Linked DNA regions of Schizosaccharomyces pombe. The gene in region 2 interacts genetically with the main gene of each other region. Each region holds a gene or a part of one and is shown on either strand. Other genes may lie near its edges.

Region 1 (8,301 bases), on a different chromosome or scaffold from region 2:
AGAGTCAAATACTATGGTAAAAATGTGCTCCCAGAACATGATTCTAAAGGCCTCATTCGTCTTATGCTCGAAGCCTTTAAGGATAAGGTTCTTATTCTTTTGAGTATAGCTGCCGTAGTTTCGCTGGCATTAGGTTTATATCAAACGTTCGGGCAGCCTCCCACCCTTGATCCCATCACTGGAAAACCTGAACCTCGTGTCGAATGGGTGGAAGGCGTGGCTATTATGGCTGCAATCGTTATTGTTGTTACCGTGGGTGGTGTGAATGACTGGCAAAAAGAGCTTCAGTTTAAGAAGTTAAATGCGAAAGTTTCCAATTTTGATGTCCAGGTTCTTCGAGATGGTGCTGTTCATTCTACATCTGTTTTTGATCTAGTTGTTGGCGACGTCTTGTTTGTTGAAGCCGGCGATGTAGTTCCTGTGGATGGTGTGCTTATTGAATCGAATAATCTTGTTCTTGATGAATCCGCGATGACTGGTGAAACAGACAACATCAAGAAAGTAGATGCCAATACTGCCATTGAAAGAACATCGCCGGACGTCGAATATCGAAAGAATGCCGACCCATATTTGATTTCTGGTACTACTATTTTAGAAGGCAATGGTAAACTTTTGGTAACTGCTGTCGGTGTTAATTCATTTAACGGGCGTACAACCATGGCAATGCGTACAGAAGGGCAAGCCACTCCATTGCAACTTCGTCTTTCAAGAGTTGCTGATGCAATTGCAAAACTCGGTGGTGCTGCATCTGCTTTATTGTTTATCGTCCTACTTATTGAATTTTTGGTTCGCTTAAAATCCAATGACTCCTCTTCTAAGAACAAGGGTCAAGAGTTTTTGCAAATTCTCATTGTCTCAGTTACTTTGTTAGTCGTCGCCGTTCCCGAAGGTCTTCCTTTGGCAGTTACCTTGGCTTTGGCTTTTGCTACAAATCGCATGCAGAAAGATAATAACTTGGTCCGTCACTTACAAGCTTGTGAAACGATGGGAACAGCTACTAACATTTGCTCGGATAAAACTGGTACGTTAACCCAAAATCGAATGACTGTTGTTGCGGGTGGATTTGGCACAGATGTGTTGTTTTTTGATCATAATGATGAAACTCCTACCAACGTTGATCAGGGTTCCGATTCTTCAAAGTTCGAAGACGCTGGTGCTAGCGCATTCGCCTTTAAGCGCCTTTCCCCAGAACTTCGGGACTTAACTCTTTACAGTATTGCTGTCAATTCGACATGTCGACAGCTATTTGAGGATAATTCTGACACCCCAAGGTTTATAGGTTCTAAGACAGAAACAGCATTACTTGATATGTCAGTCAAAGAGCTGGGACTTACAAACGTCGATAGCATGCGTTCAAGCGTTGATATCAAGCAATTCTTCTCATTTTCCTCTGACCGCAAAGCATCTGGTGCTATATTTGAATACAAAGACAAGTATTACTTTGTAGTAAAAGGTATGCCGGAAAGAGTTTTGCAACAGTCTACATCAGTTATTACCAATGGCTCCCTTGACGAAGTTGAAGATATGCATTCTCATGCAGATTATTTTAAAGAAATGATCACTGGATATGCCAAAAGATCTCTTCGTACTTTAGGTTTATGCTATCGTGTGTTTGACTCTTGGCCTCCCAAAGATATTCCCACCAATGACGAGGATAGTTCTAATCCTTTGAAATGGGAAGACGCATTTACAGACATGACTTTCTTAGGATTTTTCGGTATCATGGACCCTATTCGGCCAGATGTACCTTTGGCTGTAAAGGTTTGCCAAGGTGCAGGGGTGACTGTTCGTATGGTTACTGGTGATAATATTGTTACTGCTAAGGCTATTGCTTCGCAGTGCGGAATTTACACAGAGGATGGAATATCCATGGAAGGACCGGAATTTCGATCTCTTTCTGATGAGAAACGCTTAGAAATCTTACCCAAATTAGATGTACTTGCACGCTCATCTCCTTTGGACAAACAGTTATTGATTGAAGGACTGCAGAAGCTTGGTAACGTAGTAGCGGTTACAGGTGATGGTACCAATGATGCGCCTGCACTAAAAAAAGCTAACGTCGGCTTTTCAATGGGTAAATCGGGAACCGAAGTTGCCAAGGAGGCGTCCGATATTATCCTTATGGACGACAACTTCTCGTCAATTGTGAAAGCAATTGCTTGGGGAAGAACCGTTAACGACGCTGTAAAAAAATTCCTGCAATTTCAAATTACCGTGAATATTACGGCTGTTTTCTTGACTATTATCTCTGCTGTTGCCTCGACTGACCAAAGCTCTGTTTTAACTGCTGTTCAGCTTTTGTGGGTTAATTTAATTATGGATACACTTGCTGCTCTTGCACTTGCCACTGACCCTCCTACTCCTGAAGTGTTAAAGAGGAAACCTGAGAAACCAGGTGCATCGCTTTTTACTTTTGACATGTGGAAAATGATTATTTGTCAATCTATGTACCAACTTGCTGTTACTTTGGTGCTACACTTTGCTGGTAATAGTATCTTCCATTACCCTTCCAATACTGCGGACATGAATACTATTGTTTTCAATACCTTTGTCTGGCTCCAGCTGTTTAACGAAATTAACAATCGGAGATTGGATAACAAGCTCAATATTTTTGAACGTATTAACCATAACTTCCTCTTTATTGCTATTTTCGTTATTGTTGCTGGTATCCAAGTTATAATTGTTTTTTTCGGAGGTGCCGCATTCTCCGTAAAAAGAATCGATGGTAAAGGATGGGCGATTTCCATCGTGTTTGGTGTTATCTCTATCCCACTTGGAGCCTTGATTCGTTGTGTACCAAACAATTTCCTAAGAAAGGTCCTTCCGGTTAAGACAATTGACACTGTTTTCTCTTGGATTCTAAATCCTAGGTTCCGTTCTAAGCGCCGTTCAACCGATCATGATGTTGAATCCCTTAGTCTTATCCCGTATGAACCCACATCTCCCAACGAAGTTATTGACTCTATTCGTCATTCCCTTGGCTTCGTTCAACGCATTAGAGGAGGAAGGATACGCCACCTACTCAACAACTCCAAATTTGATAAACAGATGGAAGCGCTTCCTGAACGTCTTCGTCCCCGTGTAAAACAGAGATTTATGAAGATCCGTTCACCTTCTGTTTCTTCAGCTACTAGCGTAGCTTTAATGATTCCTATCTCAACACTTGTTAGTGAAGCCAGCGGACGATTAGGTGGGCATGACATTTGGATTTCTCACAATCGCCAAGCTCTCGATAAAAAAAGCTCAAATGTTCATTAATTTAAGACGAATGTATGAGACAGAATAACAGTGATTCTATTATCGAATTTTTCTTTTTTATTTCCTTATTCTCGTTGGAAATCGCCTTCTTTTTCTATATTTGTTATCAATTAAAAGTTTGTTTCTTAGGTTTAAAAATTCCCTTTTTGTATAGAAAACGAGTCAGCTTTACCTTTTTCCTTATGTCTACTTTCTTTGTTTATCTTTATGAGTTACTTGGTTTTTGCCTATTAATGGTTTAGCCAGTTTGTTATATACCGCTTGAGCTTTAAGTTTTATGAATGAATAAAGAAAACTCCATTAATTAGAAACATGTTGTTTAACAGAAATATGAGGAAACAACGTACACGTATTTTGAAATAAAAAATGTAAACGTAACATAAAGTAAGGAATGAAATTATCGAATACTCTAGAATCAACGGAATCATCTAAAAGACAATGTGTGAGGATTAAGCATCAACACGGTTTGTTTAGTAGACTACAAAATTTTCAATTCTAAAACTCTTGGATAAAACTTGGGTATATGGTATATAATTAAGGACTTAGTTATCAAGGAGGAAAGGCTTGATGACATACTTGAAAACAGTCCTTGCATAAAGATGATAAGATTCAAAGAAAGAGAAGAAGAAAAAGAAGCTCTTTAAAAAGTAAATAAGTTATGATAATAAATAATAAAAGAAGAGCTCAACCTCATATTCAACAGAATATTTGCGTAAGAAAATTTATAAGAGCGTTCGTTAGTGACCATCATTTGTTAAAGAAGAAGACGGTTCTGATTGAAGGTCATCATCGTCCGTACGATTGACTGAGTATCGTTGACGGACGAGTTGATGAACAAAAATACTAGCCTTCAGGAACCTTTTTGAGGAGTATTTTTGGAAAAAGGCTTTGTGTTCTAGAGGCTTGTTATGATAATGAAGCATAATATACGCTATCTCCTTTAATTCATGCTCTTCATACCCACCAGAGCTTTCAACTAACTTTGGCGTCCATGGGCCGCGACGCAATAATCGGCGGCTCAAATACATTGCGGCAGCAGCAATTTTAGACATAGGATATCGTAATAAATCGTGGTCAAACAGATAAATTTCTGTTAGGTATTTCCCCAATGTCCTTGTTTGTGCATCATAACCTTCTGCTTGAGATATTTTGCGAAGAAAATTTAAAGGACTTGGATAGGACAAGTCAAAATTGAGAACATTTAACATATAACGTTCAGCGACACAGACATCTTCTACGGTAAAAGCACCATCAGTCATGTAAACAAAGTTTTGTATCGAAGGACACATAACCTCCTCATATTTGCTAGCGATGAGAAGAGCAGTAATGCCTGTTAATTGAAATTTAGACAAAGAGCATGAACGACGCGACAAGAATCGATCAATTATATTGACTGCCAAATAAAGGGTTTCGGGCATTAAACAAAAGTTGGAATGTATTTCCACCAACCATTCATTCAAAATTTCCCTCATTTTCCAGGTTAATTCTTTTTGTTGGTCCATATATTTTGGATTGGGAAGACACTTTAAATCCAGCTTTCTGATGTACTCAAATATTTCGGGTGCGTATTCCTCAGCCATCAAAGGATTGGAGGATAAATGATCATCAACATTAGAGACTCTGTCCTTTTGTAAAGTTTCTACAGATGGATCCGCATTTTTGCTATAAACTTTCAACTTTTTCACGAATTTAGATTCGACAGGTTTATCAGCTTCTTCATTTGTAGATAAATTAGATTCATCGAACGATCTTTTCGCTTTTTTCGTATCCTTCTCATCAGCATTATTTTTACCTACATTGGAAACATCAGATAGGACAGTTCGACGTGGCAGATTAATTTCAAAATTTGTAGATAATTTTGTCTTCTCAGTCCCTTTTGATAAAGCTTGTTTGCCAACAAGTGTGTTTTCATCTTGATAACTATGCTTATTGATTTTAGAACCAACAGGCTTTGAAATTGAATAGAGAGCCATATGAAATATGGATTGATAAATTACCCTTTTATCAACGTATAGAAATATATCTGATTGTTTGTAACCAAAAATGTCTTCTTTTTATTAAAATAAGGAAACTGTTTTTGGTAAATTAATCTCAATTGACAAGATGGATAAATTAGGGAAATTGAGCGATCGAGAAACAGAAAGCACTTATAGCGAATTTTTAAAGTTTCTCTTTTAAATGAGAATAAATCAATGGGTCCGAATTATTCTATTGTTGTTGATAGGAAGAAAGGGAAAGAAATCGTCCAAACATAAACAAATGAATTGTGTAAACAAACCAAACCAACCTACTGTTGTGGATATAAACGAAAAAAAAAAACAAGCAGATGTAATCAAAATTGAGAAAGAAAAAAAAGTAAAGATAAATTTTTTAACGTTCGATTCGAAAATGAATTTACCTCTTTGAGGTATGCAGAATTAACTCTTATAAAGCACAAGAGCGTAGTTTAAAGGGACAATGATTAACGAAGAGAATTAAAAAGAACACTTCTTTGTAATTAGTTTAGAAAAAGCAAAGTTGAAGGTTTGATAAACAAACGATGGATCAGAAAAAGCAGCACTAAGACGAACAATACAAGCAAATAAGTTTGATAGTTCGAATTTAAAAGAATAACAAATGTAGGTGTTATTTTTCCAGCAAGAAAAGCGAGTAAAACCTTTTCAGCTTGAGGGCGAGAGCAATGCTGAAAGGCTAAATAAATTGCAATTGGGAAGACTGTAGGATAGCAATTGTTGCACTAATATCGAAAGGGGACGATTAATTATGTTTTAATAAGATATAGTGTACTTGTTATAAGAGAAATGACTGTCTTTGGCAAGCGCCTCCTGTAAAAGAGTAGGACAATAAGCGAACCAGAACAAAGAAAACAAAGAAACTTAAAACGGTAAAGTACACAATAGAAACCGACACTTAGCAGCTGAAAAGTGTAAAAAATTAATTAAAAGAAAATAAGTACAGTAGAAATAAGATACTCCGGAGTAAAAACTAGCTTGACACTCAAAATACTGAAAGCTTAATTTACTATTGTTTACAGTTAAAACCAGCTCAACCTAGTATATGGAGCCTAAACTGATCCCTATAGCATGTATTTGAAAAAAGAAATTAGAAAGAAGGAATATTCAAAGAGAAAAGAAGAAACGCAAAAAGCAGCGACAACAAGAGAAGGACTTCAAGGTGGATCCAACCTTTGGTAGAGTCTTGTAAAAGGGAAATTACACTTGTACAAGTGCCTTTGAAGCCTTTCTTGTAACTCAACACAAGTCAAAGTGTCAGTGAAAAAGCAAAAGACAGGCATAGCAAGCATATAAAAGAAGTAAACGCGACGCGACGCGAGAAACGCGCTTTCGCGCAAGCTAAGTTGCGTGCACCTCGTTTTGGCGTGTTTTAGAGCGCGCGCTTTGGTGTAGCGTTTTGTATATTACAATTCACTATGCGCGTGCCGTCATTACATGCTACACAAACTAACGCAATTTGAATAGAATTAAAAAGGGAGAGTTCGCTAATACTTTATATCGCAGTTACACTATAATTCGCTATATGCTGAGCTTGGAAGGAATAATGTTGTTTGTCAAGAAACACAAGCATCTGTTAATAAAAGTTTGGTAAACGTCTCGTAACGTCGATAAGCCAGTACTTTATATAATCAAAGAAGAATTTTTAAATCATATCAGATAACCAATCGTAATGCTTTCTGTGAATTACACCTACCAAGACATTGTTCTGTGCAACAACATAAGCAAAATAAAACAGTATTCAGCAATAGCGCTTTAACATTAAATCTAATTTACGACATTTTTTTTAAAAAAAAAGTCAAGGAATAACAATAAGGCATAAATCACGACACTAATTTCCATTCTCTATGTCATTTGGATGGACATGAACATGAACATGATCGCTTTCAAATTGATATTGAGGTTGATCCAAAAAATAACTTCCGATAAAAATTATTTTTTCTTATAGAGCTCTTTTACATTATTTCCAACATTTTGTCATGAAAGGGCATGAACACAAAAAAGAGGAGAAACAGAATTTCAAAGCTTCATTAAAGAATATCAAGCGTACAGCAAAAAGATAATTGAATAACGTCTGATTGATATACATGGCCTGTGGTGTCAAGTTGACCAATAAACTAAAAAATGCACAAGACCGTGGTACGTTGTGCAAATTAATTTGCAATGTGGACTCAATCCTTTTTAGTAGTTTCCTCTTCACTATCCTTTGGCTGTTCAGGGGCCAAAGCATTTATTTCTTTTAGAATTTTGTGAAGCTCTCCTCTACAGACAAATTGTTAATACAGAAATGTTGACAAGGAGAAATAATTAAATATGAGAGAAAAAATGAGGGAGAGAACAATGTGGCATATATAGACGACGAATTAAAGACACTGATACACTAATAGTTGATTTTTATCCAATGCTTTAAAAGGGAAAGTTCATTTGAAGAAAGAGCGAAAATATAACAGGGTTTTTTTATCTTTAATATCAACTAGAGTGATTAAACAGTTGTAGAATCCTCCTTCATCATCTTTAACATTTCCTATGACACCTCCTCAATCCTCACCGTCTCTCTACCAAATAATAAAAATACAGTTTAAAACATTACTTACGATTTATGCATGGACGCCAAGATATCACTACCGCCCACGAATTCTCCGTTAATATAAAGTTGAGGAATCGTAGGCCAGTCGCTGAACTCCTTTATACCTTCACGTAGCTCATCATTACTCAAAACGTTGTACGTAACTAATTTATCGGAAGCAACGTTTTCTAATGAAAGAATTTGAATCGCCTTTAATGAAAATCCACACATTGGGCGGGTAGGTGTACCTTTCATGAATAAAACGATAGGATCCTCTTTGACGGCCTGTTCAAGAGCTTGACGAGTTTGTGTGGACAGCATGCGAAGTTGCATGGATATACTGGTTTTAGGAATCCAAAATCTAAACATCGAATTCATCTTGAATATGGATATTGTAAAGTGTTTATAATAAGGCAATTTTGAGCTTGAATGTCAACTCATTGATTCGCCGCAGATAAAAGTGTA
Region 2 (7,433 bases):
TGCTACATTTAAGATTTTCATATAGGTAAATCAATTTCGCTGTCGGTCACAGGTACCCGAAGGTGGTAAGTAGCAATGCTACTTCAATTTTAAATAGTATGCATCAGCAAAATTAAATTTGCTAGTAAGCTCTGTCAAGTCCCCAGGTTAATATAAATGTATTAAATGCAGTAAAAAAATTTATTGTTTAAATGAATATGTTAATGACAACGATTAATTGACTGTAATTTGGTAGTATACAGTTTTGATCAATTTTATAAAACATGGTATTTACACAGTGTTTTTTGGTATCAGTTTATTTGTTTATTGAGAATATCAAAGACAGTTAAATTAAATAATAATAATTCATAAAAGTTAATGAAATTCAAACATTTGTTTCCTAAGTTTTTTTCATTACTAATGCAAAAAAAGTTGAATATATATATTTTTCTTTAAAAAAAATTGGATTACATCAACGTACCAACTAAAATTGTGTCAATCTTATCGAACTAGCAAACTGGCAGTAAACTTCTTGAAAGCGTTACGGTCAATCTTTTGAACTTGAAATCACTCTTAAAAAGACTTTCATTCTTGTTGTTTACGAACCTAATAACCAATACCATAAAATATCAAGCAAATATGGTAAAAAATATCGAATTCCCAAAATGCGTTGTTTTTGACTTAGACTACACTCTGTGGCCTCTTTGGATAGATACCCATGGTATTAAATCTTTTACTTTGATCTACTTTATGTTTTATTTTCTAACAAAGTTTCACAGTCACTGCACCATTTAAGCCTTCCAAAAATGACCCAGGCGTTTTGATTGACAAATATGGCACAGAGATTTGTTTTTACTCAGATATAACTGGAATTTTACAAGAGCTAAGGAACCAAAAAGTTACTTTGTGCGTTGCTAGCCGTACTTGTGCTCCCAAGTATGCGAAACAAGCATTGAATTTGATGAAGGTACCAATAGATGGAAGTCTTAAGCCGGCTATCGAATTTTTCACTTATGTAAAAGCTTGGCCAGGTATGTCTTTTAATACATTTTTGTCAATACAGAAAATATCAATAATCATATTGCTAACTAGTTATTGTGAAATAGGTAGTAAAATGGATCACTTCAAAGAGATCCACAACGAATCTGGAATTGACTATCGAGAAATGGTGTTTTTTGATGATGAGTCTAGGAACAGAGAGGTTGAAAGACTTGGTGTTACATTCTGTTTAGTTCCTGATGGCCTTAATCGTGCGTCCTTTGAGCAAGGTATAAACAAGTGGAGAAAATTAAAAAAAACTCACTAAATATTCTTTCATTTCTAAAAAATCATATGCATGGTTAATTTTTCTTTTGAAAGAAAAGTTAATCAATTTTGCTTGCATCTTAAGAAAACAACTATCGTGCTTTAACTTATATTTAGAAGTCTCTATTCGAATTGAGATGTATTTTGTTTAATCACAGTATCATTGTTAAAATTGGGAAACACTGATACTACTTTTAATGGGTGAAGAATCAAATTTAGAAATTAAATCTATTAAAGACCTAAATTGCTTCAATCTGTAATATGGGGTTTCTTATGAACTTTCTCTTTTCTTTTTGCAAACTAAGTAAGTATCATATAAATAAATAACAAAAATATATACAAACGGTATAATGTCATATGAGCATAGTTGCAAACCGGTTTAGGAAAACAAAGAACATAACAGAGTAGTTTAATTGATTAATATAATGAATTTTATAAAAATTCTTAAAAAAAATTACATCACTATACACTTACTTTTCTCAAGTAAATATATAATTTTGAAATTATATCTCCATTACATGTTTGTCTAGAAGCATTGCAATATATATAAATCGAAGAAGAAGCAATGTTAAAGTTACAAAGTACGCTCAGTATCCTTTTCAGTCATGTTGCACCAGGCAGCCATTGCGCATTGTTCCGGATATTTCTTTGCTAAAATACTAGAAATACGGCCTAGTGAGGAAAACAGTAAATCAGTACATTCCTCATTAGCATACCTCTTTGACATGTTTTCCATATATGATGTTACGGTATCCAAGTCTTCAGGCCACAAAAAGTTATCATCTTTGCGATAGGATTCCATAGAAGGGTGTGTCAAAAGAAACGATCCGACATGTTCGTTTACGATGTTCATAACTGAACATGCGATTTTGGAAGCGGGAAATTTGAATAAATTAGGTACAAACATTGATGCATCAAGTACTAAGAAAAAAATCGGGTCTAAAACAGGAATATACGAAGCTGGTGTAGGGATTGAGATATCCCAATCAAGAGTATCAAGTATGTGGCGTTCCATACGAATAAATAAATCCTCAGCATAGATGTTTTTACAAGCTAACTTCAGTTCTTGCAATAATGGAACACGGTCTTCTGTTTCATGAAATTTACTGGCAATCCAAAGACAAACACATGCTACTAACTGAATGTGTTTGCAGTATACCACTCTCCTCGAGACATATGAATCCATGAGGGAAATACTAAGCGGAAGAGTATCAATAGACAAGTCGAATCCATTATGTATTTCTACAATAAAATTAACGAGTGCAGGTCGCATTGACCATCTGAGTTCCGGTTGCTGATTAGAAAGATGGACATTCAGCAAAAAATTTTTCTCTCTAGTAATCAGATGATGGATAATGTCTTCCTGGTACTCACCTAAATACCCGTTCATTGATAAACCAGTGAGTAAAGAGGATTGAGTGTTATAAAGTAAGGCGCTAGATTCCGCTGACAATGTGCTAACAGAGTCGACAACAAATGCAGTCTCATTTTTAAGAGAGGGAGATTTGGAATTAACGCCTTTTGGTGAAACAGCTAAAGAGCAAGGGCCCACTGATAGAGAATATGAACAGGCAGCTAATATTTTAGGTTCTATACTTGAAGATGAAGTGGGAGTATGAGCAGTAAGTTGTTCCTCATTGGAAGAAACTAACATACTGGGTAGACAGGTATTTGAAAATAATGAGAAGGAAAGAGTAGAAAAGCTCTTCACAGTCGATGAAGTTGCAGCTCAAAGTTCAGTGAATTATTAAAAAAATGATACTGAAGAAAAAATAATTGGACATAAACAGGCTCAGATTGCTTGTTAAGAGGTAGTGGTCAAAGCGAATAGTGTTTAACTAACTGAAAGCGATACAACGGCGGAAAATTAAGGGACGATTTAAAAAGGAAGAAAAAAAAAGAGTGAGGTGACGATTAAAAAAAAGGGAAAAATTACTGGGTTTTCAAGGACGCTAAAGAGATATCAATAATGGAAGGGGTAATATAAAGGAATCGAAAGAGTAAATTGCAAAGGACTTGTAAAAAGCCAAGACGAAAGAACCCAATAATATATAGTGAAAAAAGGCTATATAAATATTAAAAGAATGCAAAATGAAGCGGAAGAAATTAGATGCGATAAATATATGTTTCCAAAAAGGTTCGGTGAATAGTTATTTAGTTTGATTAACGGATTTCAGAAGCAGACAATGCATTCATACTAATGAAAATATTACAAAGAAACACAAGGTTAATTCCAAAAAGAAAAAAAAAATAAAAAAAAATAAAAGGAAGAGAAAGATATTTAGTAAAATATGTCCATATGCAGCAAAAATAAGGAAATAAATTTCAATTAAACCAAACGATGTATTGCAAAAGAAAAACAAAATTTGGTTACGCTGTTCAAACTTTCGAATTCATTTACAGTGCAGTCAATTTAATTTACCGCAACCTTGATAGGACAGAAATTATAAAAGAACACCAAAAGCTGGAGAAAAGTAAGTGGTACAGACTCTTTTAAAGAAAACAATTCAGTTCCGTCAGCTACTATTTTATAAAAAATGATAAACGGATACGACTAAGAGATCGAATTTGTGAACGATTCGTACCAAGCAATAAATAAAGTTGTCGCTTGTATACCAAAAGCAATTATGGTGTGGTAAGAAAAGAGAATGTAACAAAAAACAAGGCGGAACTGGTAAAGAGATAAATTATGGAAGGTTATAAACGGTGGGCAATCGATATCTTTATAAGGATAAATCTTATAGTGTAGTGACAATATCGCGAATCGGTATCCTTACATTGTGAATGTACAATGTCCATTCTAACTCGTAATTTCTGCAACGTAACTAGCTACTGTTAGTAACAACAACCGGAATTTTCGGATTTGAATTAATTAAGCCTCAAGTGATCTCCATCTTGGTATGGCCGATTCACAAATTTACCATACCAACGATGTGTACTGAAAGCGTAAAGTACTAACACACAATTAATTCAATGGGTCAAGCACATCATGTAAGTGACGACGTAGCCCAAAACTATTCCATTCATAGCACGCCATCTATCAAAGAACTTGAACAAAGAAACTAGTACAAAATTTTGATTTTCAAAAGCGGTTAATTGATAAGTTACTTGCTGTAAATCATATTGGCCAAATCGTGAAATGTACGTACTGCTAACATTGCGCACGCAAGTAAGAAAAAGTGGGGACAAGAAGCAGAGGTAAATCAATTATTCAAGAATGTAAATATTGACCCGTTCGATCATCTACAGCTTTTTTTTTATGAAAATCACGTTATTAACAAAATGGCTGGTGCAATCCAGCTATAACTACAGCTAGATAGATTAACATTAATAATATCGATTTTCTTCACAATAGCATATACCGCAATCTTTATTTTACATAGCAGAAGGAAATAAGCAGCCCAATTACTGTGTGTAAATGTTTATCACTTAGTATATGGATTAAACAAATTGTAAATAATAGTCAAGACTTAAGTCAGTTAATTTCCGATGAAATAATTAATTTTTGAGGAGAATGTGGGGAATGAACATGAATAACTAGCATGGATAAATAGATTCGCAATCAGTGACATAACGATATTTATGAGCCGTCTAGTTTCACAGATAATTCCACCTGGTGGTGCGGATAAAAGTAGGATAGAAAATAACAGAACCAAAACGTTGAAAAACGCATTGCTTGGCTTAAAGGTCATAACATTATTCTATTCAATGGAAAAAAATGTTTGGTAGTTGAACGAGATTGCTTCTCAACGCAATGTTTTATTTTCACTACGAAATGTTCTCATGCTTCTAATCTATGACTTCTACTTTACATGCTGTTGATTCAGGTGGTGTTTTTGTACCAAAGTGGGGGGTCTAAGTCGTTAGTACTATTGTCCTTCTTCTGGTTAGTACTGACAGTTTGTATTACATTTTAAGTGGGATCGTAGTAACTAAATGGGGGTACATAAAACTGGTACTACTAAACAGATTTATCTAAGTTGTGAACAAATTTCAATAAACAAACGAATGTATAATCTCATCGGCAAGAAAATAATTTTTTACGTCAATCACTTATTTCACTTCTTTATTTTATTTTGAATATATCAAATGTAATCAAGTTTAGAAACGTAGACGGGTTCATGTATGAGCTTTCTTCGTTTCATTTGCATATATATCCTTTGTAAGATTCTGTTACTTTGAATATGTTTTCTTTATAAGTTGTAGATGGTAATTGCTACTCTTTAAATACAAGCTGTCTTCTACAATAATTTTAATTTTACCAGAGTATTTTTAATTATCCTCATGCGAGTAATTTTCTAATTATGTGGTGTAACAAAAATAGCGTTCGGTTAAATTTTAGTTCGCCGTGTTAAGTCTATTAATCAAAAAATTTGGGTTCGTAAAATTGTACGCCTATCTGCCTAGAATCAAGTGAAACCATATTACAGGCATAATGCTCCAATCGATAATGGGAATAAACAACTCAGACTTTGGAAATTCACAGCTACATTGCCATAATCATATTGTGGATGGGTGTGTCACCTTGAAATGTTTTATTGATAAACTAACTAGCAACTAATCTATGCTTTTTATCGGAAAAAATAAAAATAAAATAAACTCCTATAATAAAAGACCTTTTTGTACAAAATCATAATAATACCACCCTATTCCAGACATTTTTTTTACGTAAAATGACATATTAAAACCTCTTCGTTTTTTTTAGTACGAAGAAACTCCTCCATCTTCATACATAATACATATTTACGAGCCAAATTTGTGCTCATAAAAGCTTGCTGGCATTGATTTACTCATCAACATATCGGCGATTGGTCGTTCGACTACCAGCAATTCAGAGTTTCCTACAGAGCCTACAAGTAGCATTGGTCGATATTTGTGAGTAATCCAGAAACACCTAGAATCCCCTGTTCCATAATTTGAAATGCCGTTCGAATTAGCATTCGCCAATTTTTTGTCATTCAGATTCCCGTCAACTGTTGCATTCATTTCAATTTTACGTTTTCCGGCAGCGCGAGGCGCTGGTAATTGAAGATTAAGATCGAAAAATGAAACCCAGTTGGCTGACCAAATCCAGAATCGACTCGGATGTTTAGAGTCGAAAAATGCTCCGAATGCCTTATCTAGAAGTTGCGAAAATTCTTTGGGCATATTTGTAGAATTGTTTTTTGACCATTCAGATAATTTACGGGATTGAACATCAAACTCATAAACTTGATTTCCCGCCGTAGCAACAGCTAAACGGCCTCGTACATCTGGACGAAAAGCCATTGCACGAACATAAGTGTTAACTCGTGGTAACTCTGAATATGTTAAATTTGACAAGGAGTAGCAGAAAATATTTCCAACTGTGTCCGCAACAGCAAAATAATCTCCATCCGAAGATACCGCTATACTGCAAATACCATCACACATGCTGCTTACATTGCTTCGCTGACGAGGAGCAATTTTCTTGCTAGTGGGTTGTGATAACTCGAAAACTTCTAGCTGACGAGAATCCAGTCGACTTAATTCAATGAGAAATATCTCGGAATCGTTACTAACAAGGATAAGCTTGTTCTTATCTACAGTAAAACTAAGCAGGCTAGCACCAATATTTGAAAGGAAGGAGTCCTCAACTGTTTCAACTTTCACATTTTCATCGCTATACTGTAATTGATAAAGCTTCGTCCTCAAAACGGAAGAAATTGCAATTAATTCCCCATCAGGAGAAATTGCTGCATGTGAAATATTTTCTTCGTCAGCCAACACAATTTTTAATAAAAACCTATAGCCAGGAGACCCAATTCTCCAGAGAAGTACTTCATGATCATTCCATAACATAAAAAGCCTTGCTTTCGGTGCGACCGCCATGCGAGGGCGTTGAGGAACGGCAGATATCATCCTGTGATTCTTGCGATTAAATTGTCGAACAGGAATTACCGCAAGCATCATATCCATACCACCGCTAATAAGAACATCCAAACTTTTACATTCAAAAACGGCCATACATCGAACATCATGAGAATGGAACCTTCTAAAACTGTTGCTGACCCATTCTCTTTTACCTCCTTCGCGTGAGTACTGAATAGTTTTCCTGTCAATCCCTGAAGAAAATACCATATCTCCGTTAGCAGAAACACCCAAACACAAAGCATCAGCCAAATGTAGTT

The links. A genetic interaction does not mean that the proteins touch.
Region 1: of puc1 (region 2) and cig2, changing one enhances a phenotype caused by changing the other (phenotypic enhancement), as found in Schizosaccharomyces pombe (3 studies listed by BioGRID, with this or other methods).

Annotation. Positions count from the first base shown.
Region 1 is NC_003424.3:2,708,010-2,716,310, reverse strand, and holds cig2 (G1/S-specific B-type cyclin Cig2), read right to left. Parts: upstream 6,530-8,301; 5' UTR 5,232-6,529; coding exon 3,996-5,231; 3' UTR 3,259-3,995; downstream 1-3,258. Other genes in the region: P2 type calcium transporting P-type ATPase Pmc1, read left to right, coding at 1-3,258; mitochondrial [2Fe-2S] cluster assembly and transfer glutaredoxin Grx5, read right to left, coding at 7,442-7,532, 7,865-8,214. UniProt on the Schizosaccharomyces pombe protein: Essential for the control of the cell cycle at the G2/M and G1/S (mitosis) transition. Interacts with the cdc2 protein kinase to form MPF. Interaction with res2 promotes the phosphorylation of res1 and inhibits MBF-dependent gene transcription.
Region 2 is NC_003423.3:3,697,715-3,705,147, forward strand, and holds puc1 (G1 cyclin Puc1), read right to left. Parts: upstream 3,976-7,433; 5' UTR 2,939-3,975; coding exon 1,859-2,938; 3' UTR 1,484-1,858; downstream 1-1,483. Other genes in the region: SPOM_SPBP8B7.31 (acid phosphatase), read left to right, coding at 619-700, 759-1,010, 1,086-1,205, 1,259-1,323; U3 snoRNP protein Utp4, read right to left, coding at 6,028-7,433.